Lytechinus pictus: one gene and its partners. The protein of the gene in region 1 interacts with the protein of each later gene in a pairwise test. Links are inferred from orthologs where the notes say so. Each region holds a gene or a part of one and is shown on either strand. Other genes may lie near its edges.

Evidence for each region.
Region 2: the proteins of ligand of Numb protein X 2-like (region 1) and selenocysteine lyase-like interact in binary tests that used the Homo sapiens proteins (3 or more experiments, as listed by UniProt). The link is inferred for Lytechinus pictus from reciprocal best matches to the Homo sapiens genes LNX2 and SCLY.
Region 3: the proteins of ligand of Numb protein X 2-like (region 1) and 60S ribosomal export protein NMD3-like interact in a two-hybrid assay, tested with the Homo sapiens proteins (3 studies listed by BioGRID and IntAct). The link is inferred for Lytechinus pictus from reciprocal best matches to the Homo sapiens genes LNX2 and NMD3.
Region 4: the proteins of ligand of Numb protein X 2-like (region 1) and dual specificity mitogen-activated protein kinase kinase 5-like interact in binary tests that used the Homo sapiens proteins (3 or more experiments, as listed by UniProt). The link is inferred for Lytechinus pictus from reciprocal best matches to the Homo sapiens genes LNX2 and MAP2K5.

Annotation. Positions count from the first base shown.
Region 1 is NC_087250.1:24,234,772-24,241,749, reverse strand, and holds the start of ligand of Numb protein X 2-like, read left to right. Parts: upstream 1-3,966; 5' UTR 3,967-4,041; intron 4,042-4,047; exon of another isoform or gene 4,048-4,209; intron 4,210-4,622; 5' UTR 4,623-5,788; coding exon 5,789-6,078; intron 6,079-6,978.
Region 2 is NC_087258.1:5,796,930-5,804,585, forward strand, and holds the start of selenocysteine lyase-like, read right to left. Parts: upstream 3,024-7,656; 5' UTR 2,814-3,023; exon of another isoform or gene 2,613-2,813; intron 1-2,612. UniProt on the Homo sapiens protein: Catalyzes the decomposition of L-selenocysteine to L-alanine and elemental selenium.
Region 3 is NC_087245.1:29,841,956-29,849,267, reverse strand, and holds the start of 60S ribosomal export protein NMD3-like, read right to left. Parts: upstream 3,010-7,312; 5' UTR 2,431-3,009; coding exon 2,390-2,430; intron 1-2,389. UniProt on the Homo sapiens protein: Acts as an adapter for the XPO1/CRM1-mediated export of the 60S ribosomal subunit.
Region 4 is NC_087249.1:19,536,731-19,544,564, forward strand, and holds the start of dual specificity mitogen-activated protein kinase kinase 5-like, read left to right. Parts: upstream 1-4,811; 5' UTR 4,812-5,003; coding exon 5,004-5,102; intron 5,103-7,834. Other genes in the region: short transient receptor potential channel 5-like, read right to left, coding at 1,767-1,938. UniProt on the Homo sapiens protein: Acts as a scaffold for the formation of a ternary MAP3K2/MAP3K3-MAP3K5-MAPK7 signaling complex.

The DNA of each region.
Region 1 (6,978 bases):
TCATAACATGTGGCAGCAGTACATGTCGAGACTTGAGTTCCAGGTGTCCAGACAGTCCTTTGTTGTATAATGGTCATGATGATATAATCTCCATAGAGGTACATGTATTGTGAAGCACACACAATCTATAGGTCTAGTGCTTTTATACAAGACCACTGATCCATGGTGCAAGCTGCTTTGTTAAAATTGTATTCAATGAGTTCTGGGGAATCCCCTGATGTCATGAGCAACACCTCACACTGCTTTTATTGCATCATTACACGAGACATGACATGCACGATGTCATCCGGACATGGTGGCTCAGTGGTAGAGCGCCCGCCTCATGGACGGGAGGTCGTGGGTTCAATCCCCGGCCGAGTCATACCAAAGACTTAAAAAAAGGAACCTTCTGCCTTCTTGTCAGGCGCTTGACGCATGAGAACGGAGAAGGGTAATAATAACCTATTATGTTATGCAGGGCCCGCTGGAAGAACAGCTTACAGCTGAGAGTGGCTACCCTGGGTAAATAAGTGTTATTATTATTATCTACATGTATTTAAGAGGAAGTCCAACCTGAAGAAAAGTTTATTGTAAAAATAGCACAAAAATGGTAAAAGATATTGTAGATGGTTAGAGAAATATAGAAATAAACTTTGAAAAAAGCTATTGGGAATCCAACAAGAAGGACATACATGTAGATAGACCAACGTATTATGAGTTGAGAAAACCATACATGTATATGGCCTATGATTCAAATAAAATAAATATGAATATTTATTGGAAATGCACCTTCAGGAGCATGATCCATTTTCAAAATTGAAAGCCCTACTGTGCCCCTCGATGAATGAAACAATACCAGTTCCAATCATTGTAACTTGAAATATGCAATGAGCTGTACATCTATCTATGCTGAACTCTTGAACAAATTGAAACCAAGCTCCAGGACAAATCAGAGATCATCCAAGTTTGGCTCACAAGACATTCCTAGACACGTTTTTTCTTTTTTCTTCTTTATCGATGTCCAAGGAATGCATGTCTATGCATGTTCACACTTTTTCAGTACTTGGCCAACCTGTCTACATTTAATACCTCTTGGCTCTTTGAAATACATGTAACACTTCTCGGCCTCCTGAGCTCAAAGCATGCTTTGACCTCTATTATTATTACCCATCTTTTTATTCTCAATAAACCGTCTGCTTTTTTTGCTCCTCAAATCGGCAGCAATAATTTGTTTTCTATTCATTTTCATGTCCAATTTTAAAGAAAATTCAAGGGGAATATGAATTTGATTTTTTGTTATTTATCATTTAAAATCAACTTGTTCTTTAATAAGTTGTTGGGATGATGAAGTCTGTTAACTTCTTTCATTTAAAAAAAGTAAAAAATTGATAGCCTCTTTGCATTAACACTGCAGTGTACACATCACATACATTTCATATAGGAATGTATGTAGAAGGGGAGAGGTTTTAATCTTAGTTTATATCCCTTACTTAAGATTGTTGTATTGAGAGTGTACACAAGGAGAAAAAGAATAGTTTTACTACGAAAAACGTTTGCCATGAAATAGTTCATTTTCCTTGCTGACGTCACACATAGTCCATTTTTTCCCTAGGGAAAAAGTGAACTATACGTTTTTTGACCCCGCCCCCTACTCGATTCGCGAGCTGTGCGGCGCGATGCGAGCAGAGCGCTGCTCAGCCCAACGGTACTCTCTACTGCATGCCATGGGAAACTTTCGACGAGCTGCACTAACCAGGTGCGCTCGCTGAACAGACGATCAATACGGCAAGGCTTATTGTTTTCTCAACTTCTCAACGATTGTTCCATCATCGACTTATTAAAAATCGTTTTGCTGTAAAAGTCGGGTATCAACGAAGAATATCGTATGAAGAATATATATGAGTGGAAGGGATATAAAACAAATATACAATGACCCATTCTCGGAACTGGCTAAAACTATTTGCACTCAGGAACATCACACGATGGCCCTCGGGAGAATAGTACTATATGATGTTCCTTCGATGCGAATAGTTTTAGCCAGATCCTCGAGTGTCATTGTATATTTGTATACTATAAACTTCAAAAGAAAGAAGAAGGAAAAAAACCAAGGCCCAAGTGTCAGATTATAAAGCAGCATTATCTATTCTTCAGGAATTCAGAATGTAATATAAATAACCTTGAAGAAGTAATCCTTTATAATACGCAGCTCTTCCAAGCTAAACTACATAATCGTACAATCTCCTTTTAATATGTTTGTAGTTTTCCATACACTTTTTAGAATCTCTCACTGGAAAATCCCCATGAAAATCCTCTTTCACTGTTTAGCTCATCCAATATTTATAGATTTCCATTGTAGGCAGTAGGTTTTGAATTGTAGTCTGGGTCCACGAGAAAAAAAATCCTGACCTTTGTCTTCATTTGAAAGAAAGGACAAAATATTTTTATTCACAAGTCAGATATTTGAAATGGAAATAAAAAAATGTAGATATTTTAAATACATCCATATCTTTTGTAGTTTTCCATACACTTAAGAATCTCTCACTTGAAATGAAGAGCCATACCCTTGATGACATTTTGTATGCAGGAGACCCTGTGCCCCTGGGAAGCCTTTAGGGTCAAGATAAAAAAAACCTGACCTTTGTCTTTATTTGAAAGGAAGGACAACATATTTTCATACACAAGTCGGATCTTCAGAGGAAATAAAAAAATATACATCCATATATCTCCAAATATGTTTTGTAGTTTTCCATACACTATAGAATCTCTCACTTGAAATGAGGAGCCATACCCTTGATTACATTCTGTATGCGGGGAGACCCCGTGCCCCTGGGAAGCCTTTAGCGTCAAGATAGTGATTGTTAAATATCTCTGTGAACCCATCCTGCAAATGATGCGCTATATTTATCTCCTCTTCTGACTTCAGAAGATCAGATGTTCTAGGTTCATTTATTGCGCATTTATTATGCATGATCAGACCCGTGTTCAGTGTAGTATAGGCCATGTGTTGTTGGCCTATGTACATGTACCTTCTCTGTTTATACTGTGATATAAATGATAATTCAGGGCCCACTGGAAGAGCAGTCTTATGATTAAAGTGGCTACCCTGGCCCCTTAGTAAATAAAACATTGTTATTATTTGTGTTTACAATGTACAGTGATGTCTAAAATCCGATTTTGAGAAATGTTTTCTGTATTTTCCTGATCACATTTTCCATCGATTTACATAGAGTTTATGTTAAATCGGTATTTAAAAAAGGTATAAACTTGATGTTTTTGGTCAGTTTTCTTTGAGGGTACATACATGTACATTTTATGTAACCAACTATTATGCCAAATTAATTTTCTGATGATGACGAACCACAGGTTAATTTAAGCAAATGACCATTGAGGAACAACTACAGCCCATAGATGGTTTATAGCCTACAGACTGTACATGTAGGTCAGTAGGCCAAATTAATTTTTTCAACTCCATTTGCAATCAGTGGCAGGGTGTGAAGTCCAGCACCCGATCAATGTCCACTCATCAGAAGCGAACTACATGGAACAATGCGATTCATGTACACTACACATTTTTCATGGGCCGCTAGATAGTTTAACTGCTGAGATTTTTTATAAGTTGGTAGCCGGGGGGGGGGGGGGGGGGCGGGTATGGAGTGCGATGGCTGATTGAACCCCCTAAATCCTAGCAAGAAAAAAAATAGGGGAGGAAAACAATTCATTGACATGAAATGGCCATCAGTTTTGGCTGATCAGTGATGACCTTTGTTTTTCTCGTCAAATTTTCAAGCCACATTTGCAACCCAACCTGCCTTTTGGAATATTCCTGGCAATGTACAGTACTTTTCCATAGATCTGCCCATTCAAACTCAAAAGTGTCAATGGCAACTAGCTGGTAACATGACTCCATTATTCATAGCTTTCTCGGTGACGTCATGTCAGTGATAACATTGTGCAATCATTGTATTCATTTGGATGTTCATAGTACACATACATGTACATACATGTACAGTATCAAATGATCTACATGTACATACAATGTACATGTAGGATGCCCTGGAGCTTGTGAGTGTGTATTGTGCTGCCAGCTTGTAAAAGATACCAAACAGATATAGGCCTACATACAACTATTTGAATTTTAATGATTGGGCATTAAGATTAAAATGATAAAAAGTGAAATCTAATCCGGGAAATTAATATTGTTAGTGTGGTTCATGTACTACAATGTACAGTGTATGTTTGGTCTCTCATTTGTTGTTAAGATGTCTGTACATTGTACTTTGTTGACATGTGATCTACACTGTACAGTGTACAGTGTTCCTTATCTTTCAAGGATCAAACCTTGTTTGTTTTCCGCTGTATGCCAAAGTCTACCAACACCAAGGATTGTCTAATGAAACTTGATATTCCTTATTATGATTATTGGCATTATATGTACATGTTTGGATTGTCTGCCTATAAATAACACAAATACACTGTATACATTGTAGCATAATTATTTACTCCGGTCCTGACTCCCCATCCCCCCCCAAAAAAAAAATGATTGGGTACATGTTCAGTCACTGGTCCTCAAATATGTACAGCTGAATATACTGTACGTATGTAGTGCTGGATGTTAAAAACACTATTTTTTTTTTTTTTTGCAGGATCTACCTTACATGTAGATCAGGAATACAAGGCCTGGAACCTGATGACCACATTCCATTTGATCATTCCATCACTCATCACCATCCTTCATCCGGTGGATGTCCAGCTTACGGCAAAAGATATCGCACTCTCAACTGGGCGATATAACCCAGACGACGATTGACCAGAGAAGTTAATCAGAAGAGCTCATCCTCTCTTCCCAATCGTGTGAATTCGCTCTCATCCGCTATTACCCTCTCTCTGTCCCTCTCTTCAAGCTGCCGATGCTCAAATACCAATTCGTCGTCGGCAAACATCGCTTCGGATGCTTGAGAGAGAGGAAGGGGGCGATATTGGATTATATTCACCGGCTATAATTACACCCAGTGAATAGCAGATGGGATCAGCTGACTGGGTGGCTTGTGAGGACACTGTTTAAACCTGTCATGGACTTTTGCCTTGGGAATCAATGTAGAAGTGAATAGTGTGTGTGATCTGTGGACGTCTTAAAGCCAAAGGTGAAGGTTTACTCGGAAAGTACTTGAGAGTTTTAACATATTAAAAAGGGGATGAACTCGTATGATATTTCTTACTATTGAATTTTGATGACTATGTATGAGATGGATCTGAATAACATTGATGGATAAATATTATTTGCTTCATGAATATTAAATCATTGTCAAGGAAACGAAGCCAGTCCAGTTGACAGTTGGAACTGCTGCCTGGAAGTGACCTCGATTCACTCATTTATTGAGATTTATTTTCCCCCCATTATGCCTCTCTATCCTTTTGGGACGATATGAAATTCAGTCTACTGTTCCTAATGAATTGCCAGACGTCCATTAGTGGTGCGGAGTAGATGCCATTCAATGGTTGGTTTTGGAAATTAATAATTATTTGGAATACAGGCACATCTTCTTGTGGTAATGTGGTAATTGTAATCTTGATCTGCAACAGCATACAGGACTGTTTTTAACAAGTAGTTCTGATGATTTGTGTCTTTATTTTGGAAGCCTTTGATTTGAAATTGTGGAGACATCAGGATTCTAGGGTCACAATCGCAATGGAGCGATTCAAATCTCATTCTTGCTGATTTGTACATGTGGATACCGCCAAGACTATATTACAAAGGGTGAAGGAGCCATCAAAGATTGCTAACCAGGAGCTGCGAAACTAACCAGTCAAGATGACGGACCCGTCCCCTGCCGCGCGCAACCCCATCATCCTCTGTAGGACTTGCGGACAGCGCCACCAGCTCCACGACAACCACGTCTACGACTACTGCGATGTCGTAGACGAGGAACTTACGTGTAATATATGCCTTCAACCACTAGTGAACCCTATGGATACTATGTGTGGACATACGTTTTGTATGCGCTGTCTTAGGAGTGTTCTGAACTTGCATAAATTCTGTCCGATCGACCGGAGGCCGTTGACACAGCAGGATTGCAGATCGTCAAGTCTTATCGTCAGAAGGTGAGTGATGTATTATAACAAAACAGAGCCGTTTGAACGGTTTGATACATGTAAAGCTCAAGCTGTTCGTAAATTGATAGAGACTTTAAGAACGACTGGTGAACTCCAGTATATACGTGTACCATCGTTAGTGACAGTTTTTGTCTACACAAGAAAGGATCACCATTGGTTCTTAAAGTAACTTTTAACTTTATCAACAGCTTTATGGAACACGCACCAGAGCCACATCTTACAAAGAGTTATTATTGAGCCAGTCAACCTCGGATGGAAATACATCAATGTTGTAATTTTTCATCCAGGAAATTGGCACAACGACCCTTTGTCATTAAAGAGGAGCACACTGAATTGTCAAGACAATGATGCATGTTTGATATACATGTACATGTACATGTACATCATACATGTATACAGCGTACATGTATAATTTAGAAAACCTTTTTGTCAGACATGCATTATTATAGATTGCGGTTGCTGGCTTGCCATACTTTTGGCTGATCTGATCAATCAAAACTATTTGTAAGATGGGATTCAGAGGTTCCTATTGACTTTATATTAATTCTTTGATTCTGATAGGCAGGGTGCTTCTGCTACATAACTTTTTAGAAGCACTTGCCCAGTTGGGCAAGTAAATTTTTAAATAGCTGGAATATACCTGCCCAAAAATCTATTTCACTTGCCCGAAATAAATTATTGAAAAAAAGTTTTACCTCTTCAAAAGAAAGTTTTGCAGTTTTATAAACCATTGACCTTTTTCTCTCAAACTGATCTACTTTGTTATTGCATTTCTTTTCCCAAATTGATTTTATATTGCCTGCCATGACCAAAATTAGGATCAATATCATATCGACCCTAATTTTGGTCATTCTACTGTGAGAATTTTGCCTGCCCAATTCGGGCAAG
Region 2 (7,656 bases), on another chromosome or scaffold:
TGACAAGCACTCTCTGTGGAGTCTGTTGACAATTAAGGCACAAGCTCCAGCCCAGGCATGCCACTTGTTCACTGCAACCACCCTACCTGAGGGGAATCTACATGTACATGTAGATCTATGCAGTAGACAACACACATTTAAACTAGAAATTTGACGTGTCCAAAGGACACAGATGCCCCCGCTTACGCGATCAGAAATTCATTCAATATGATTGAACTTAATATCGTGCAGAAATCAATATGCATACATATAATGAACAAACTAAGACCTTTGAACCAACTCGCATACATAATGAGCTGTGAACTTTGACCTGTGAACTCCAAATTCAAATTTAGCCTGTACTTTGGTGTCGTCTACCTACACACCCAACTTTTTTTTAATCTGTTGAATATTTCAGAAGTTACCATGTGGAAACCAACTCGCATATTTAATGAGCTGTGACCTTTGACCTGCGGACTCCGAATTTGAACTTAGACTTTATTTTGGTGTCATCTACCTACACACCAAAATTTGATATTAATTAACGATTAAATCAATCCTAAAACAAAAGGAAAATGATGAACAGACCTGCACACAACTCGTATTTAGTCATATATCACTAAATACTTGGGTGCAGGCACCCACGGGTACATTACCGCCGCCGTGCACAGGATAACCACTGGCACGGCATTTGCAATAAGTTTATTCGTCTTTTCTAAAAATTAGAAATATATCTACATTTAAAATGAGATAAGCTTTGGATATGAAACTTACCAAATGATATGAAGCCAATTTCATTTCCTCTCTGTCTTTCTGGTACTTTACATCGATGATTTTTCTTGATGTCGAAGCAGTCATGGTGCCGATTAGACAGCTGGCAGCCGTCTGTTTCGAGGAGTTTTTTAACATTTTTTTTTTTTTTTAATTTCTCCTCATACACAGACGGCTCGCTATCGTGCAGCCACCATTAGGGGACTTACAATGCAAAATCCCCCCGTCGGGGCTCTTCAATTTTTGTCTTTAATGAATCAAACTTTTGAAAATTAACGCGACCGAAATGCAAATTAATATTCCCTCTTGGCATTAATTGCCAAAAAACTGGGAAAATCAAGTTAAAAGGAACAAAAACAGTGACTTACCTCCGCTGTCGCGCAACTTCACTGCCCTGTTTTATCCGAACTTAATACACATAAACATATGGCCATTGAGTCCCCTGTACAGATCGCGCTAGAACTTCGGTCTCTGTATTTGGTGAGTGAAGCCAACGGAGTTCAGCTGAACAACCAACATAACAGAGACCGAAGCTTTTGATCTAGGTGCCGATTCGCTGGTTCTCTCTATACGCACAGAGAGGGCGCGCAATATTATTTAATAAACTTGCTTGTTTACGTCGTTTACGTCAGATCAGCTGTACTGCTGGTCGCGTTCTAGGCGCTCCGCATTTTTTTTCGCTGTTCACCGTAATTTTATGATGTAGCGCCAGCAGCGATTATACGTGAGATGCAACCTGTTGATTTTTTTGGTACAATTTCCTATTATGCGCCGAAGACTTGAATCTAGACTGTTCGATAGGAAAAATATGCATTTCGATTGTTGTTTGCGTAATTTCCACCGCAGTATTAAGGATCGGACGGAGTGTCTTGGCTGAGATTTGGAGGTAAGCATTTAAAATCCCTTTTTATAAATACGTTCGAGCACATTTTTAAAATTGAATTAAATGATAAGATTTAGATACCTAAATAAATTTAGTATATTGTGAAGATTTTGGCGTGTTTCATTCTCTCACGTTCATGTGATGAATGAAAACGTCAAAATTCATTATGAAATGACATGCATTGTGCGAGGTTAGTATAATAACTAACCTCGCATGTTGTGTGAGTGATTGGTACCAGGAGTGATACTAACCTCATACTAGTGTGAGTGGCCCGTCTACCCATCACCTAACCCAGAGAGCTCCAGCCCGCGTAGCGGGCTGGAGCCCAGACGCGCAGTGTACAAACGGGCATTCAGGTGAGAGTACCGTGAAGTTTGGTCAATATCATTTACATAATACATAATTTAAACAGAAATTAAGCACTTACCACGATTGTATGGATGATAGTCTAACGAGTGGCAGTTTCCTGACATCGAGGCACAGACTGGAACCTCAAAAAACGATCAGTTCTGTCGCGGTGGCTCTCCTTCTTTCAAAATTCATAGCAAAATGGCCGTTCGAGAGGGTGTAGGGCGCATGCGCGAATTTGACAAAGTCTATATGCGCTAGTGCTATACTAGCCTCGGTCTCGATCGGCCATTTTGTTTTGAATTTTGAAAGAGGGAGAGACACCGCGACAGAACTGATCGTTTTTTGAGGTTCCAGTCTGTGCCTCGATGTCAGGAAACTGCCACTCGTTAGACTATCATCCATACAATCGTGGTAAGTGCTTAATTTCTGTTTAAATTATGTATTATGTAAATGATATTGACCAAACTTCACGGTACTCTCACCTGAATGCCCGTTTGTACACTGCGCGTCTGGGCTCCAGCCCGCTACGCGGGCTGGAGCTCTCTGGGTTACCCATCACCCTGCACCAGATCCCCTTACCAACGATGATTATTTGCAACACAAGAAACAACGAATGGGACACACGTACCGTACAACTACAAGTACATGTACAAACTCAGTTCAGCTCAGCCGTCACGACGTCACTCATTCATTGGCAACATAAAGAATCGCTACTATACTATTACTATGATTTTGCTTTTATTTAGAAAATCATCACCAACACATTAAAAAATACACATGAACATAACCATGATCGTCATACTCATTCATAATGGAGTAAAATGTTTACCTAAATCGATTTTGAGCCTGGCGCCGGTGTACCGGCGGATCCTGCGCCTGGCAGATCCTGCGCCTGGCAGATACTGTTCTAGGCACCAAATCCGCCGGCGGATATGGTTCTCCTCCGGCGGATTCAGTACCAAAATAGGCCACTCCTTTCGGAAGATTCGGAAGATATCGTTCTTGCGCTATCGCGATATCCTTCATTCATCACGTTCACACGTCATGCATGCGATATGCACACTTTCTACACTTTTCCTTTGCTTTTCTTTCCTCCTTTCTTTTTGTTCTTGTTTGTAGAACTTTTTGGGACCATAGCCCAACCCTTCCATACGCAGTGCTGTGCGGTTGGGGTCCGGAATTTCTTGATATCAAAGCCATTTAAACCTCGCAGATTGCCGCTATTTTAATCAAATCGCGGGCATGTACAGGATATAGCTTTTACACAACACATTTATTCAACCCAGTTGCGAAATGAACCAAATATTTTGAGGGGCAAAACATAGTAATGTGGGAAAAATCTGTAAAAAGTCGCAAAGCGATCGAGCTGGAAAAAAATGCCTTTTGAAATTAAATTCTAATTATGTAATTGATTTTTCCATTAGATTCAGCAACTAACAAATTTCATTGTTTCCATTCATTTCATTATACCTTGTCTCCTTTAATTTATTTTATTTCTCTTGGGTGTGGAACCAAGACCCCCCCCCCCCCCCCCCCCCCCCCCCCGCCGGCGGCGAAATTATTTTTCCCACCGAGTTCTGGACCAACATATGAATATTCATGAGTTGCGTCTTCGGATTAAGAGTACGCATGCGCGTGGACTTGAGGACTACAGGCGCAGCGGCGGATTCGGTTCCACCGGCGGATACCGTATCCGCCGGCAGATATCGTTCTTAATGGCCGATATCGTTTTTAATCGGAACCATATCCGCCGGGTTTGACGCGGCTTGATGTTTGCAGATTTGGTCCCTCGGCGGATTTGGTTCTATTGACGATACGTGTAATATTTATTTGGACAGACGTCCAACCTCGGCAGCGCGCGCATGCGCGGCTCTGGCAATGTCGTTACCAATGGGGGGAGGGGATTTTCGTCCGCCTTTAGACTTTTAGTGAATTTTTATTCAGGGGCGGATCCATACAGCTTTTGACGAAGGGCTCGATGGGGGTGAGGGAATAGGAGAAACAATGACTCGATATATCATGTATACATAGACCTGGAACATGCGCCAAAACTTTGCTATTTATTATTATCAGATTTTTGAATGAAATTTTCATCATTTTGTTTTGTAGGCCCTACGTGAAAATTTATACTACTTTAAGTCCGCAGTATGCATCGAAATCTTTAACTGTGCTTTTTCACACCATGATTAGTGTAAGTTTGCCAGACTGGCGAAAATTTGTACCCCCATATAGGCCTATAGTTTTGATAAAACTACAGATTTTCAACGAGTTAAAACTTCATAATTTCAAAATAAATGAGGCAAATTAGTTTATGAATATATATTGCTGTTAACTCATATTATTGCTTGTAGAGTGCTAATTTTTTGTGAAAACATTTAAAAAAAGAATTTCAAAACATGATTAATATCTTATGTAGTTTATTGTAGGCCTATTTTTAATTTGTTTTTTTTTTATTCCTTTTTTTTCAATATTTTTGTTAAGGAATCTGAATTAAAGGGATGGTCCGGGCTGAAAATATTCATATCTTAATACATAGAGTAGAATTCACTGAGCAAAATGCAGAAAATTTCATCAAAATCGGATAACAAATAATAAAGTTATTGAAGTTTAAAGTTAAGCAATATTTTGTGAAAACAGTCATCATGAATATTCATTAGTTGGGCTGATGATGTCACATCCCCATTTTCCGTTTTCTTATGTTATCACACAAAACCATATTTTTTTCATTTATTTCATACTTGTGTGAATAATATGTCTCCCTTATAATGAAACAAGTTGCAGCAATAAATATCTAATGCACTAAATCAGTTGTCAATCCAAATTTTCTAGTTCTTGGAGGAAAAAATTTGAATAAACCTAATTTCATATAATAAATTACAAAAGAACAAGTTGAGATGTGACATCATCAGTCCACCTAATGGATATTCATGACGTAACAGGCGGGGGGGAGTTGCCCCCTGTCGGATTTAACCAGGAATAAAAGAAAAACGGGAAAGGAAAAAATAAATTAAAGGAGACAAGGTATAATGAAATGAATGGAAACAATGAAATTTGTTAGTTGCTGAATCTAATGGAAAAATCAATTACATAATTAGAATTTAATTTCAAAAGGCATTTTTTTCCAGCTCGATCGCTTTGCGACTTTTTACAGATTTTTCCCACATTACTATGTTTTGCCCCTCAAAATATTTGGTTCATTACGCAACTGGGTTGAATAAATGTGTTGTGTAAAAGCTATATCCTGTACATGCCCGCGATTTGATTAAAATAGCGGCAATCTGCGAGGTTTAAATGGCTTTGATATCAAGAAATTCCGGACCCCAACCGCACAGCACTGCGTATGGAAGGGTTGGGCTATGGTCCCAAAAAGTTCTACAAACAAGAACAAAAAGAAAGGAGGAAAGAAAAGCAAAGGAAAAGTGTAGAATATGATTTTATTTACTGAATATAATGCCAAAAAATAGCTCAAAGTTAGATTCTTCTTTGTGCAAACTTAATCTCTGATTAACGTCAGTCTGAGTCTGACTCTGTCCCTAATCATCAGAATAAAGGCAAAATGTTGAGGCTTTCCTCTTCAAGGCCTAATGTAACTAGAATCCGAAAGGTAGCTGGCTCTCAATTAGACTAAGGCTAACCCACCTCTTCTTCGAACTTCATTTCGCAACGTTATTCACGCGCGGTGCGCGTGCATGCATGACGTGTGAACGTGATGAATGAAGGATATCGCGATAGCGCAAGAACGATATCTTCCGAATCTTCCGAAGGGAGTGGCCTTTTTTGGTACTGAATCCGCCGGAGGAGAACCATATCCGCCGGCGGATTTTGTGCCTAGAACAGTATCTGCCACGCGCAGGATCCGCCGGTACACCGGCCGCGCGTTTCCGTTTTACACCCTGGCGAAGGCATTTCCCGGAAAAATAGCCACAAAGCGACTAGTGAAGAGTCTACGTCTACGTTTGTTTACATAATCAGCTGGGCGCGCGATCCAAAAGTCCGCACCGAGGATATCCGCAGAACATAAGTGCAAATGCAGCTGAGCTTATAGACCAAAAGCTTCAGTCTCTGTATTTTGGTTGTTCCGCTGAACTATATACGTTGGCTTCATGATTTTTTTAAAACTTTATCGCACATGATCGTTTATATGAATGAAAACGAATAATAGCTAAAATATTGAAAAATAAAACACATAATTACCTTTTTTCATATTATATCTATCCTTATATCTATCATATCTGTCTATCCACTATCTATGTTATAAATCAATCTATGGAACTACATGATATATCTATCTGTTAATTTGTCTATCTACTCTGTCTCTCTCATTCTCTATCTACCTATCTATCTGTCTATCTATTTATCCATCTAACATCTATCTCTCAAATTCTCTATCTATCCATCTGTCTCTCTTTTATTTCTATCTATCCATCTATTAATCTACTCATGTGCAATATCAACACTGCTTCGACTTCCTTCGGGAGTCTATTTCCTCAGCTCTACTTTTCCCTTTTTGTGCTCGATTCGATTCAATTACTACTTTATTTACTTGTTACCATTGTTAAATGTCTTGTATTGCATAATGAGTTTTTTTTTCTGAAGGTTGCCTCCTATTCTCTTTCAAATTCCACCGCTTGCTTTCCCTTCTCTTTGTCTTATCCCAATTCTTTCCCTTCTCTCACCTCTTTCCTCTTCTCTCTCCTCTTTCTTCTTAATCTTTCATCCCGCTTTTTTCTTCTTTGGTGACACTTTGTAGTACTTTTGGCCTTTTGTATTTATTTATGATACATTTCTTTTTCATCTGTATGAATTTGTATTGTATTTGATATTTATTTATAATGTTTACTTTATATTTTGTTATGATTCTATTCACTGGCGTAAATCCCGGGGTGGGGGGGGGTGGGGGATATATCCCCCCTCTTTTCGAGGAGGGGGGGGTGGCCTGTACAAACATCCCCCCACTTTTTACGAAAGAAATGGAAAAAAAATCACAAGAGATAATCGTTTTATTGGTGAAAATTCTTCCTAAAATACCGCTTAACAAATAAAACAATATTATTGAATCATAAAATGCAAATAAAGAGCCAGTTCACCATTTCCAAACGAAATACTTATGTCCTTATTAGAACATTGAAGAGAAACCCCCGTTTCTTCCAATTCATCAATGTTGGGGTCTTTGGGAAGGGAATAAGATGGAATGTCAATTTTTTTTAATGTAATCTCTAATAAAACCATTAAACCATCATGGGGTAAAAAAGATAATAATATTGGAGGGGTATTTGCCATAATTATGGACATACAGTGGCGTAACTACGGGGGCATGGGGGGGCACATCCCCCCCCCCCCCCCATCGGCTGACCAAAACAAAAAACGGGGAAAGGGGGAAAAGGAGAAAAGAGGGAGAAAGGAAGAGAAACGTATTGGGAAAGAAGAAAATGTTATTCATTATAATGTTATATTATATTATAATTATGTTATGTTACATTACATAAGAAACATTTTTATCATAACTTTATGAAACATAATTTGCCCAGGGCCTACGTCTTCATTGTTCCTGGTGCTATAATAATCCCTGTTGTACTAAAACATCCCGTTTCAAGTCAATTTAACCAAATATATTTCCTAGCACTTGAGTTATCATTGTTTTATGTAGTGACATATGCTTCTTTTTCATGACT
Region 3 (7,312 bases), on another chromosome or scaffold:
TGTATAAACATCATTTTAGTGTGAATTCATTCCAAAAACACATTTTTCTTCTAATATAGATGTTTCAAACATATTCCATGTGAAAAACATTATTTTTAAAACATTTATTGCTATATTTTTATCATGAAAAAAGGGTTTCTTACGCAACAGTCAGTATGATATGTGTGGGCACGAGATCTGCCGTTTAAGCCATAAAGTATATTTTTTATGATTTTATTGTGAGCCTACTCAAAGGATTTTTGTTTATTTTTTATGAATTTCCAGACCAAGTTCAACAGCGCCATCTCGAGCTTGCAACAACGCATGCGATCGCACGCATTTTTCTCCATAGCTAATACACGCGACGTTACTCTGTGGATTTCTTGTGGATTTAACCTCCAAACGTCACTTTCGATACCACATGAAGGTAAGACACTTCATCCCACATAAGTCAATTTTAATATAGAAAGCACAGGGAATAACATTTGTAACTAAGATGAACTAATTTGCTGAGGAAAAGCATTTCAATGCTCATTTTTGCCGTCGAGAACAGACGATGGTGGCAATGCACACTGTTTACGCACTTGCAATTGGCTTTTCATTTGCCCATAGCAATTTTGCTCAGTGGATCGGCCGACCTTTTGGTAACTCTACTAATATGCAAACTTTGTGTGTAGATCAACACAAAGGGCGCATGACGAACTGGGTTGCAATTTGAACTGTAGAAAGTTGATAAATGCGTGCAAAATCGGGAGAAAAATTGCGCTACTTTGAAAATTATTGGTTGCCCGATTCGGGCCACCAAAACTTAACATTTTATCAATAATGGTTGCCCGAGGTGAATTTCTGGTGGCCCTGGGCCACCGGGCCACCGCTAATGTCGAGCCTTGCGTAGGAGACTATGGACCAGACGAGAATAAGGAAAAATTTCCTTATGATTTTACCCGATTTAGAAAGAAATCTTCAATTGAAGGACGATATTTGACTCATTGGGCATTGGAATCCTGTTAAAGTAGAACCAAAATCTGCATTTGGGTCAACACAAGAATTGGTAAGTCAGACTCTTTTACTTCGCGCGTTCCTACATAGAAATGACAGTGTTAGCGGCACTGGTCTCAGATCAGTCCCACCCCTAGACCAAAAGCTTCGGTCTCTGTTATGTTGGTTGTTCCGCTGAACTACGTTGGCTCCACTCACCAAATACATAGACCGAAGTTAAACAGTCGTCTGTACAGGGGCTCAATGGCCACAGCTAATTTCTTGTTTTTCTCCTCGATACCGCGATATTTTCCACCAAAAGTTCATACATATGCACCTATAGCTGAAAATGTATAAGTAACGACAGTTTCTTACCCTAAATTCCCGCTTTAAAATTGGCAATCAGGGGATTAACTCTGAAAGTTGACACTTGCGACTCGGACTAGTGGGCAGCCATCTTGGTAATGAATAATTCATGAAAAAGTGGCCGACGAAAGTCAGACTCCGCCCCATGACCTTTACGTCAACATTACAGAAGGGGAAAAGAAAGGAGCAGTTAAAGAAACAATAGAAAAAAGGGGAAATAAAAAATAAAAAGAAAAGTAAAACAAAAAAGAGAGAAAACGAAAGAGAAAGAGATAAAGGAAAATGGAAAAAAACGTCTAGAATTTTAGTATTCATAAACCCGACGTAAAAGAGATGATCTGATTGGCCAATGGTTTTGATACGCAGTTGACCCGGAAGTTCTTCCAACGGCATATGTTTGTGTGTTATATCGACTTCGGATGAACGAGTGAACTAGGAACTACACGACAGCCACGGTAAGTCGCTGTTTTTTTTCCTTTTAACTTTATTTTTCCCTGGTTTTTGGCAATTAATGCCAAGAGGGAATATTAATTCGCATATTTGTCCATTTGATTTATTTTCATATATATTTATGAAATAAAGACAAAAATCGATGAGCCCCGTCGGGGGGAATTTGCATTGTACCTCCCCTAATGGTGGCGACACGCTAGCGAGCCGTCTGTGTATGAGGAGAAATTAAAAAAATAAAAAAATGTTGAAAAACTCCTCGAAACAGACGGCTGCCAGCTGTCTATCCCACCCCGTACATTTTTCTGTATGGCGAATGGTCGGGGTGAACCAGTGGCGTATTCCAGGATTGGTCTCACCAACGTTTGAATAATAAATGGGCATGGAAAAAAATTCCACTGTTCTACTTCCAGTTCTTCTTTAAACTTTCTGCACAAACCACGAGCCAGCCACAATCAAGTGAAAGTTAACATGGTTAAAGACACAATTTATAGCACGTGGGACTGAAGACAAGATAAATTATTTTAAAAGAAGCGACATGTGGCAACTGGCATGCTCTCGTAAGAAATATCACAGAAAAGTTTTTTAAAAAATCTCATAAATTAGAGTGAATACTTACATCATACACTGTGTTGAATCTTGGGTCTCTATGTACTCCATATTTTGTCACTGATGCCTATTCAATTATTTTGAAAACCAGAAAATAAAGCCCGAATGTAGCTGTCTCGCTTTCCAGAAATGGTTAGATGTCACCCCGTTGCGCAATCAGATGTAGCGCCCTCTCTAGCTAGCTAGCTTCTCACTTTTCTCTCACTTCCTTTTTTCTCATTCCTTCTCTCCCCCTCTTTCATTCTTCCTCTCCATCCCTCGTCTCTTGACCTTTCCCCCGACCTCATCCCTTCTTCCTCTTGTCTTCGTTTCTCTCCACTAGTAGCAATAGTTACATTTTATATGCTAAGACCACCCGGAAGTGAAGATTATGGTGCTGCTTTCCCTTATCTTGTCACTGCCAAAATTATAATATCAAGTTATCTTCTATCCTATCAAGAGGTTCTGGTGCCAGCCCATTATGATTTTCAAAGTAGTGAAAAAAAGGGAAGGGGAAACAGTAAGAAATGAGAAAGTAAGAGTGTAAGAGTATTTCTGGGTTGACTAACTCTATAATATAATACCTCTATTGTTTAAATGATATGGACAAAATGGCATTAGCTTTGGGTTATTACCCCCCCCCCCCCCCCCCGAAAAAAAAAAATCCCTGAGCAAGAGCATGTTGGATAAACATTTGGAATGGAGCATAACTTGAATTTCAACCAAGGAGCACATATTGTTGACCTCCACTTGATCTTTTTTTAAATGTGTTTGAATGTAATACTTTCAAAGATCTAATTAACCTACAGTAAATGCATTTAGAATGTTTCAAAGGGGAAGTTCACCCTGACAAAAAGTTGATGGTAAAAATAGAAGAAATAATTTTTAAAAATATTGCCGAAGGTTTGAAAAAAAGCCATCAAAGCATTATAAAAATTATTAGAATTTTAATTATTTGATTTGTGATCATATGTGAGCAGCGTTCCTACATATTTTAGGAACAGGTGTGAATGGTTTGTGTATTGTTATACCAGAGGTACAATAAAATCCATTTTCAATTTTTCCATTTTCTGAGAAAAATTAAAAATGGATTTTAATGTACCTCCTGTATAACAATACACAAACCATTCACACCTGTTCCTAAAAAGAAAAAAGAGTTATCATGAACCAATAAAAAATGAAATTTATGCATTTTATATTGCATATGCTGCATCTTCTCATTTATGACATCACAAATTCAAAACTTTAAATTCTAATAACTTTCCTAATATTTAATAAACCTTCGATATTTTTTATTGTTTTTTCTGCTACTTTTGAAACAAACTTTTCTTCAGGGTGAATTTCCTCTTTAATAAAAGCAGAAATAATAGAGAAAAATATTGGTAAGGGTTAATGAAAATCCTTCAGAGGATAAGAGAGCCATAAATATAATTTTCATTTGTACGTGTCATATAATGCGAGCAGCTCCCCCTTAATGTGATATAATCCCACAATTCAAATTTTTTAATGGGAATAAAAATATTTTTCAAACCCCTTTATAGAAGGAATGAAATGATACCTCTGATACATCCCCTGCACAAATAAAATATGAGTTCAATTTTTTTGACAAAAAAATGGCAATTTGGGGAATTTATATCACCAAACATATTGAGGGGCCACTTTTCTGTTCCGTCACAAAATAAAACTTTAAGCATCCATAACCTTATAAGTTCATATTCTTAGACAGATTTTCATCAAACCTGCAACAATACTTTTTTTTGGGGGGGGTTAAAACTGAATTATCATCAGGGTGAATTGAATTTCTCCTTTATGAACTGTCTCATGATGATTTCAGTTGGCAGAAAACTTGTTCAAAGGCGATTTTGGAGGGCTAATACCATGTGATTGACCAGTATAATGTGGTAAAATATCTAAGGAATTGAGTTAGTACAGACTTAAATTTCATGAGATTGTAGTAGATATTTGACAGTCCATTTCCAGTTGGAAATAATTATGACAAATGAAATTGAACTGACGTTAATACTATTTATATATATATTTCATCACTTTCATGAAAATCACTTTACAGAAAAGGGTATGCTTCCAAATACTTAATCATAAAATATTCATTATGACTACACACAAAACAGGGTGCACAAGAATAATCATAAGTTAAGCAATTGCCAATCAGTACCAAATTAATATGATTCATTTGAGAATCCCCCTTCCCTCTTCGTCTACATGTTGTGATTTTGTCAATTTGCAGTTGGTAGATTGTCTTGAAGAGTAATATGAACATTAAGAAGGAGCAAAGCATACTGAATATGTTTATCCTCAGGTTATTCAAGTTATTTACTCATTAAATTGACAGTTCATCTGAAGGTTCATTACACGAAAGTTCTTCCAATACATGACAATACTAGAAGGTGCATAAATGCATAAATTTGCTGTAAATGTTGACATTCTGTAACTAATTATTCTGAAAGTTTACAACAACCCCCGAAACAAATAAATCTTTGGTTCATAACTGCACTCAGAGTGAGATAAAAGCTTTTATGATTAACATTCAAACCTATGAAATGTTTGCATATTGGACTTTGAAATAAGAAAAATTATGCAAACCATTATATTGGCAGCCAGGGGCCATAGCATTCAAACTTATGAAATTTCTGCATATTGGACTTTGAAATAAAGAAAAATTATGCAAACCATTATATTGGCAGCAAGTGGCCATATAAGTTGTTATCAGTATGGAACAGTTGTCATGCTTGTTCCATCTTCAACAAGCAAATAATGTCAAGAATCATTTTTAATCACTTTCATATAAATCATATAACAAAATAATATGTTTGTGCTCTCTTCCTTCTTTACATAACTTTTAAGCCGGCTTTTAAAGGGGAAGTTCACCCTGAAAAAAAGTTTATTGTAAAATACAAAAAAAAAATAATAATAAAAATATTGCTGAAGGTTTGAGAAAAATCCATCATTGAATAAAAAATTTAACTTATTTGATTTGTGATGTAATATGCAAGCATCTTTCCTACATATTTTATGGTAACAAAATCAATGAAATGTAATTTTCTCAGAAAATGAAAAATGGTTTTACTGAACCTTCAGTATCATTTCACACCCATTCCTAAAAAGGAAACAAGAATAAGTCAAAGCGAACCATTAAAAAAATGAAAATATTGTATTTTATATTTACATGACATATGGGGCAGCTGCTTGTTTATGACGTCACAAATCCAAAATTTAAGATTCTAATAACTTTCTTGATCTTTTTCCTCAAACTTTCACCAATATTTTTCATTATTTTGTTCTGCTATTTTTACAACAAACTTTTCTTCAGGGTGAACTTCCCCTTCAAGCCTTCTCCCACTAAAACAACATGACTGGACAATATCACACACATGCAATGCAAACAATCTTTGGCTCATCGAACAATAACTTTAAACGAGGGATAAATGTATTTCTGAAGAAAAAAATCCAACAAAAATTGAACATTTTCACAAAGATTACTTTACATAATTAATTACATCTTAGTTGGTATATAAACTGAAAATGCATACATAAATGTAAATAGTTTATAAAAGAGAGATCTACATAATTATACAAGTCAGACATATCAAATCCTGTTTAACACAAGAAAATTAACACAAATAAATTTATGATGAAGTTTTAGAGTTCTTCCAACTGATCATCTGGCAAGAAACATACTTGGATTTTTTTTTCAACATTACAAAATATCTGCATAAGAAGGGATAAAGAAGTAAAAATGAATAGCACTCTGCTGAGACTCTATTACATTTGTCTTTGGCTTGTGCAATATGGTTTGAACTGAATCTTTCTTTCTCAAAGCCAAATATGGATAGTAATTTATCAGTGTTCTTTCAACTTCAAAGATATCTTCATGTGCTTTTCAAGTTAATGCTTCAAAATTTACTATTCATTCAGTTTTAAATCAATTCAATAATTCATGTATGTATTTAGCAACACTTGTTTTTATCTAAATCTGTATATATTTGTATTCTATGATTGATTGATTAATTGACTGATTGTTTGATTGAAATAAACTTTGAATATAATTGAATTGAATTATTTAATTCCCATTCTCAAAGAAGATTTTATATCAACAAGAAATTTTTTTATTATCATGCAGTAAAACAATCTTTAAAAATCATCTTAGGAATTGCACTGCATTTACTTCAGATAGATATTTAAAACTTTACAACAACACTCCTATGTCGTTACATTCAAGATATATACAGTATACTAAAGTAATTTCACACAGTACTTCATCAAATACCTTTAAACACATGTAAATGGTACTTTTCTGTTAACATGGATAAGTTCATGTAGCAATATTATTTGTACCTCGGGCATTAATTATGAAAACCCGTCACCCTTCCCTTTTCATATATATTTCATTTACGGGGGCATAAATGTATTCATTTTGGGAGACAATGGGCATGTATCTTAGCTATTAAAGAAAAATCAAATTTTTTGTGAAATGATTGATAGATATAAACACTTTGAAAAGAAACTGTCAATCAAAATATCATGGAAGTTAAAAGTATGCTTGAGAAAAGTTGAGATGATTAATTGATTATGTGAATATGTAGTAATCCAACAAAAGATAATCTGTCCAGTTGAATGTATAATCAATCAAGTTATAATACCTGGCAGTGCTAAAAAGGATTAACTGTACATGGCATAAATGTGATATTTTTAGCATCTTGTGAAACATACACCCTAAGACCTGATACAAGTTTGATTTTTAATTTAAAACAACTTCCAGGCTGATGGCATAAAAGGGTCTTACTCTTCAAAAGGAAGGTCTTTTGTGTCACCCATTTATTTTGATGTACCATATGACGCCATTTGTAAATTTATTGCCAAATATCAAAATTGTTTCGCAAACTTTTGAAATTAAATTATGAAATAATATATCATATTTATTAACAATGGGTTCATT
Region 4 (7,834 bases), on another chromosome or scaffold:
GAAAAAATAAATTATTGTTCATTATATTGTTTTATTATATTATATTATGTTATATTACATAAGAAGCAGTTTTTCATCACTTTATGAAACATTATTTGCTCAGGGCCTATGTCTTCATTGTTCCTTGTGCTCGCATAGACTGTTTAACGAGATATATAATCCTGTTGTACTAAAACCTCCCGTTTTCAAATCAATATACTGTACACCAAATATATTTCCTCGCAATTCGAGTTATTATTGTTTAATGTAGTGACATTTGCTTCTTTTTCATGAATACTTAAAGCGATTGCCCTATTTTAAGGTATTAATATAAAACATTTCCTGTCCGTGCTAATGTTCGCATTAGTTGATTGGTGAGACGTCTGCTCTTCATGAATTCCTAAAATCAGTCCTTAAAATGTCAATTTTTCTGATCTCAATATCAAAAATTTTCAGCTCGCGCTTCGCGCTCGCATCATTTGGTTAGTGAAATACGTACGGTCTTAGTGAATTCCTGCAAACAAGCCGTAGAATGCCCCTTTTTCAGGTCTGAATTTCCTAAATTTTCAGCTTCGCGCTCGCAGTATTTGATTAGTGAGATACGTATGACTATGACAACAAAAAGTGCTTCATGTGTTTAGATGTAATTCTAACAAAATCAGCAAAGGATGGCACTAGTACTAGATGACTATGCTGAGATATGTATGCACTTAATGGATTCCTAAAATATCCTAAGATATTTTTGCTGGTGCCCCCCCCCCCCCCCCAATGCCGTGACCCACGGTACGCCACTGGATGGGGGTGTCAAGAATGACATGAAGATTGTGAGTAAAATCAAGCTGGATCAAGGAGAGAAACAGACCTTCTTACAGACGATGTAAAAGGGGGCATAAACTTCCGAAAGTATATACAAATGCATAACTTGTAATTTTCCAACTTTCAATCGGTCTAGATAACATGCGAAATGGATTTTCTGTGTTCGGGGGATGGAATGTCACAAACGAATATAGTAATATGCGTCTAAAACTATATACATCTAGTGATCAGAACCCTTTAACATTTTATTGCAAGAATCGATTCCATTTGATTTCTGTATTTAGCATGCCCCCCCCCCCCCATTACTGGTAAACACTCATGGCATTCTTGATTTATTTTGGCTCATGAGTGCTGTTAAATCATCGATAACAAGACAACAATATGCCTTCTTTTTCAACCCCTTGATCTTTCAAGGCAAACAATCTTCGTATGGATTAGAGTTCCAATCTCCTTCATTTCTTTTTATTTTTGCTTGTCAGGTTATTTTATTTCAAATATTGCTCTTTTCAGAAGTGATATATTTTATTCATTCATTCAGTCCTTCCTTCATTTATTTATGATATTTTTATCATTATATATATATATATATATATATTGATTTATTTTATTTCCATTTTTCGGATCTTTATTTACATATATATAATTTTTAGTTTTTATCATTTTGTGAAGGTATGAATTTATTGTCATTGAGTCATTGAAAAACTGCCAAACAAATTGGAGCGTTTCTTTGCCTTACTCCCCCCCCCCCACCCCATGTCCTCATCACGTTTACTTTAGCACAAGCTCGTTTCAGATACAATATCTTTAATATGGGACTATAATAGGCGTTTTCGGATTTCAAATATTCTCTATTTTACCTTCACCAATTTCCTCCAAAAATTCACCAAAATGATTCCAAAACTTTTCGGTTGCTGATAAAGCATATTTCATATTGTGTAATGAATTCTATTTTAAAAGAAGTGTGCACTTACGAGTTATACCAATCTTGATGGCGTGTGCATAGACGGACCGACCGTTCTTGTCTCTGTAGTTCCAGTCCAATCCCAAATCATCTGGTCTAGAGAGGAACGTCTTTACGAGCAAGAGATCCATCGACTCGACGGCCTCAAATAGCTTCTGCCGATAAAATTTCTTGAATGTCATATTTGCCAGTTGTCTGCTTTTCCCTGCTTTATACTGCTTTTTACTCCAAAGACTTATTTAGAGGCCTCTTCCTCAGGAAAAATGAAGAAATATGACAGCCCTCTACAAATCAATTGATGATCAAGTTCATAATTGTTTCCAGTTCTTTTAATAATGTGTATTAAACTCCCTTTGAGGTCTATTCATTCACTTGACAAATTGAGGCGGCGTAAAACAGTGCAATATTTTCTGTTGTTTACATTCCATGATTAAACCCCTTCACGAGCGAAGAATGGCACATATAACTGGAACTGATAGACATTGCATTATCATCGATGTAGATTTGCACTTGTCTCCAGTGAACAACAACATATCTCAGTCGATCAAAGATTTAAGAGGGTTCCTTTAATCCAATCATGGACCCATGATCCAACGTCGAATTGATCTCTACCTCGGAGAAAACGTTTCGCCAACATTAATATTGCAGGTATCCATTATAGTCGTACACATCTAAACACGTCAGCCGCACAAACCACATTGTAGTCATGTCATTTCTCAGTATACTAGTATCCATAACAAGAATTATCTCTTTATATCATCCACGAATCTGACAAAATTCTGTGAAGCTTTTCACACGAAGCTTTATACAACTGATCGTTATATTAAATGGGTCTGATACAAAGGTATAAACCGAGCTCCGCCTAATAATCATAATCGAGCAATGTTTATCAATCATGCCGCTGGAAGTACCAGCAGCCGGCACAAAGCGAGAAAAGAGTTCAACAAAAATCATTTGAAATGGGGAAATGGAAGCAGAAAATGCAATTATTTGTTCTTCATTGCATGGCTGGATCTGAAAAGCTTCGGGCCTTGGCTATTCAATATTGTATTAGTCATGATTGTGTGCTGATATTAATAATTATCGTATATATTGCCTAAGTATTATATTCTGTATGCGGTGAATAATTAATTATCGTATGTTCACTGCCTACTATGGGAAGATTCTCAAGAATAAATCTTAATAGAAATGGGGAAAATCATTGTGAATCAATAGGATTTTCTCATGTACCTGATATCCTTCTGTCATCCAAAATTATGCAAACAAAAGTGCACAATTAGGGAAACTCTAAATTAATCTACTCAAATTTTAATGAAATAGGTATAGGCCTATAATGCCAGGGCGGCACCCGATCGAATTTATGTATTCTGTGTTCTTGAATATTGACGAACTGAATAGATTCTATGTATTATCAATTTTGTTTAATTTTGACAATAATTCATTTACTGTGTTTATAATATATTTTAATTGTCCCTCCCATACTTATGGCTGGGTAATTTTGTCTCTGATGTTCACACATATAGTTAACCTTATTTATTAAAATATAAACACCTTTGTGTCATTATCATTCTCACGTACCAAGTGGTATAATGTTTACTAAAGATTAAAAACATAACATAATAATGGCTTAATGTTAGAATATCTATTAAAAAGCCTCTTGTCACAAATTGTTATTCGAACGAATAGAATCCATTTATTTATTCATATTGAGAAAGAATCGTCTGATCTTGTTAATATAAATTCTCTAAATGTATCTTTATTACAAATTGGAATAGATTGTTTGGAGTGAACATGAAACAAAAATGAGTTAAAATGACGAATGCATTGGATCAGGGGGCAACGTTCCTTATTGTCTAATCTGTACAAATCAGGCTGAAAAGATTTTCATCCACAGTTTCCCCGATCGGCCTGTAAAGATTGTTGGTTTTTAAGGGGGGGAGGTAACATTAACTATTAAAGGGACCAAAGACTGATCGATGTTTTAAGTACATCTTAACTTAATTCTTACAAGCAAGAGAGAGTATATCTAATAAAACCTAAATAAAAAAAATGCAAGAGCAAAGTGCGAGCTCAAAATGTTGGATATTCCATGTATTCAGACCTGAAAGTTTAATTTTTTTTTATAATGATGCGAGCGTGAAGCGCGAGCTGATTTTTTTTTTTTTTTTTTTTTTTTTTTTTTGGGGGGGGGGTATACAGGCCTACTTAAATTGGGCATTCTGATGATCTTTTTGTAGTCATGAACAGGATGCGTGTCTTGCTAAACAATTAATGGAATGCAAATAAAGGAGGAAAATAGTTAAAATACAAGGTCTGCTTACCGGAAAAGGGGACGATCAATATTGTTCTTGGAATTGATAAAGATTATACATTTAGCCAGTCAATCAAATAATAAGAGTGCGAAGCAAGCACGAACTGGAAATTTGTGATATTGTTCAGCACTCATTTTCTTAACATGATGCGTGTCGATCTCGCTGAAAAAATAATAATGGAAACTTGAAAACGAAAATTTTCAAGCCCCATGCATGTTATCGTCTTGAGCAAAGTATATTGACCTGAAACTTTATTTTTACAATCCCTGTTTTATTCAACTTTTCTCATCCTCTTATCTTTTTCATTAAATGAGGAAAGGAAAGAAAGAAGAAAGCAGAGTATATTATAATAATAATAATAATAATAATAAAGGTAGTTACCCATGGTAGCCACTTCAGTTCCGAAAAGTGTTCTCCCAGCGGGCCCTGCTATTATTACCCGGCTAAGCTAGGCTACCTTTTCGGTGCACACAGCTTTTTTAAGGAATTACTTCCTGCCAGTACCCATTTACCTCACCTTGGTCGAGTGCAGCACACTGTGGATGAATTCCTTGCTGAAAAAAATTACGCCATGGCTGGGATTTGAACCCACGACCCTCTGTTTCAAAGTCCGGAGACTAATTCACTGGGCCACGACGCTCCAAAATGGGAGATCTGAGTCAGATAATCAATGAATGTTCTTATGTTCACCCCCAATACCCCCCCCCCCCCCCCATACACCCATCTGCCCCACTGATCTCTCCACTAGTGGAGAGATCAGTGATCGGCCCCCTACAAACTCTGCGCTGCAAAGATACCATAGTTGAAATAATAAGTAAAATAATTCGTCCCCTTTCTTCATTTTTTTTTATGTATTCGCTTCCGGATTTCTGGTTGGTTTACATTTTCCGAACTCGTAGTATTATTCGCCGAATAGACCTATAAGTGGATAAAACATGGCAGCACAACCTCTCGTCATAAGAATAAAAACACAACATGGAGAGGACGTTGATTGGACAGTGCAGCTTGGTCAATTGTCATTTCATGAAGTCTTGGTAAGGCCTAGATCTAAGGGTGTTTTGATCGGTTAAACTTTTCACTCGCTCTCACTCGGTCATCTTGGTCCGACATATTCATTTTATTGTCTTGTTTTGTACCTTACATTGGTTTTGATAATGTTGACGAGTGAGCCAGTGGCGGTATTAAAATGTTACAAAATTCACAAAAGATAGGATATTAAAACAAGCAAAAATAGGTACTTCCCTCAATTAGCAGTGAAAGTAGACTTTCCACACAGTCTCTATGTACCAAATCATGACATTTAATGTCAATGACATTTCCAATTGTAAAGAAAACAAAAATAGGGTGTCTGGAAAAAAAAAAATCTTATTTTAAGAAAATATCACATTTTCTTTGTGAATTTGAAGAGAAATAACCTTCAGAATGACAGAAATGTATTTTTTTTTTAATCCAATTATTGGCTACAAAAAAGAAGAATGAAATTGGGTAAATTTTCAGCATTTCCCTGCCCCTCAGCCCCTGGGCCTGCCCACTCATTCAATGAACAAGGTTATGTGTTATAACCTTGTTCTCAGTTAGTGAGTTACATCTCCATGTGTGGCAAATAAGGGTGGCAATTTTGGCTTATTTTCTCTTTTTTATGGGACAAATGCTTGATTTTCTTACACTGTCAGTTTCCAATACAGCTGTTCATCATATAACTTGGCTCTTATGTAAATTTGATTATTTAAATTATTTTTTCTGAATAAAAAATAGAGATTGAAAAATGTAAATTTTCTTGCCATATTACTTTCCACCAATAGAGGGTGTTCACAAAAATATGCCAAAAATTCAAGTTTTTGAGCGCTCTGTTGAATACAAAAATTACAAGTTACTAATGGAAATAAATTGCAACTGTATGGAAATTAGTTATTTTGGTCACGAAAGTGATATTTTAATGATTTTTTAAAGTGTGTGCTCAATACAGCATTGGCATACCATAGTCCTACCTGTAGATTCTCCACAGGCAGGATGGTTGCAGTGAACAGAAGCGGACTGAGGACTGTACCTTGGGGCATGCCCGGTGTGACAGGATTGCTGTTACTCATCTTTCCGTCAAGTATAACTTGTTGTGTACGCCCTTCAAGAAAGTCCTTTATCCATGAGAGTATTCGTCAAGAACAAATCAAGTGTTCTGTCCGTGCGAGTTGGAAAGTTGACAATTTGTGACAGTCCGACATCATTGAAGGTGGACTTCAATCATTCAGTGCAGCAGTGTATTGGTGACCGTCGATGGATGCAGTGTTCCAATTAATGTCGGGAAGATTGAAATCCCTGCTGACCCAGACTACTGCAGAAGGATTACTGATCGTAATCTGTTGGATTGCTTGGCACAGAGACTGAGCATAGACCATCATTTTTAGGAGGTCGGTTGGAAGACACAACAATGAGTGGCTGTTGGCCATAAATCTAGATCCTTGTTGCGATGATCTCACAGTCACAATTCAGTTGTACTTCACAGTCGACTAGATCATTCTTGGTGGCAAGTAGTCGATTTGACATTTTCCGAACCTAGAAATGTCTTTCCGATGAAGTTTTTTTCTTGATTCATGTTCCTATGGGGTCCTAGAACAAATTCAGCTTGGTTGCCCAAACGGCAACTTTGGGCAATTTTGCTAATTTGCATAAATCCAAAATGGCCGCCACATGCCATCTTAAAAACCTAAATTTTGAACCCCTTGCCCCAAAAGGATAAGGAATAACTCCTTTTAGAGGTTTAGGGTAGGGTAGAATCCATTTCTATTATCATTTTTACATTATAAGGTCATCTTCAGGTCAAATCCAAGATGGCCGCCAGATGCCATCTTGAAAAATTAAATTTGAACCCCTTTCCCCAGAATGATGAGTAACAACTTTGTTTAGGGGTTTTGGGGTGTGTAGAATCCATTTCTGCTATCTATTTTGCAATATAATGTTATCTACAGGTCAAATCCAAGATGGCCGCCATATGACGCCATTTTTATATTTTTAAATGTTAACTTTTGAACCCTTTGCCCCAGAATCATGAATATTAAATCTATTCGTGAGTCATTTGGTTTGTTGATTCATTTTATGTTGTAATTTTGCATAAAGGACAATCTTCAGATCAAATCCAAGATGGCCGCCAAACGCCATCTTGAAAAAAACTACTTTCCGAGGCTTATACGTGTAATGGCTAATATAAAGGGATTTCAGTAAGAACACTCGTTTCTTTTATTAATTCTCAAGTTTTAGGTCAAGGTGAAGTCACATCTGAGATGTCAGATTTCGACATTAGCTGCTCACCTTAGAATGAATCCTTTTAAGGTTTTGGCTATGATCCATTTCGTGTGTATTTTTATTTGTTTTAATGTCCATCCATACTCTTGTACTGAATAGGCTTTTAGTGTCTTATTTGAATTTGAAAGTCTTTTCTCCATGTTTTCCCTATATCAATGTGTCCAATGATTGGTAGGCATCAGTTCGTCTTAAAAGACGATGGTGTAGCGCTATAGGGTCTTACATTTTCGAGAGTGGCTGTAGAACTTAGCTCTAGAGTGGCAGTCTCTAGAGCAAATTTGTACAGGTGAAGGAGGATGGCACTGAGACAGGTATAGATAGAGATGCTGCCCTAGCCTTCCTCCTAGGTCTTTGGTCTGCCAAAAGCATTCTGATTATTTTCTCACGTCTTGACCCCTGTACTTATTAGCTCTCCATAGAATGGCGACTATCATCTACATCTTCATAAGTGTTAGTGTACATGCCGGCA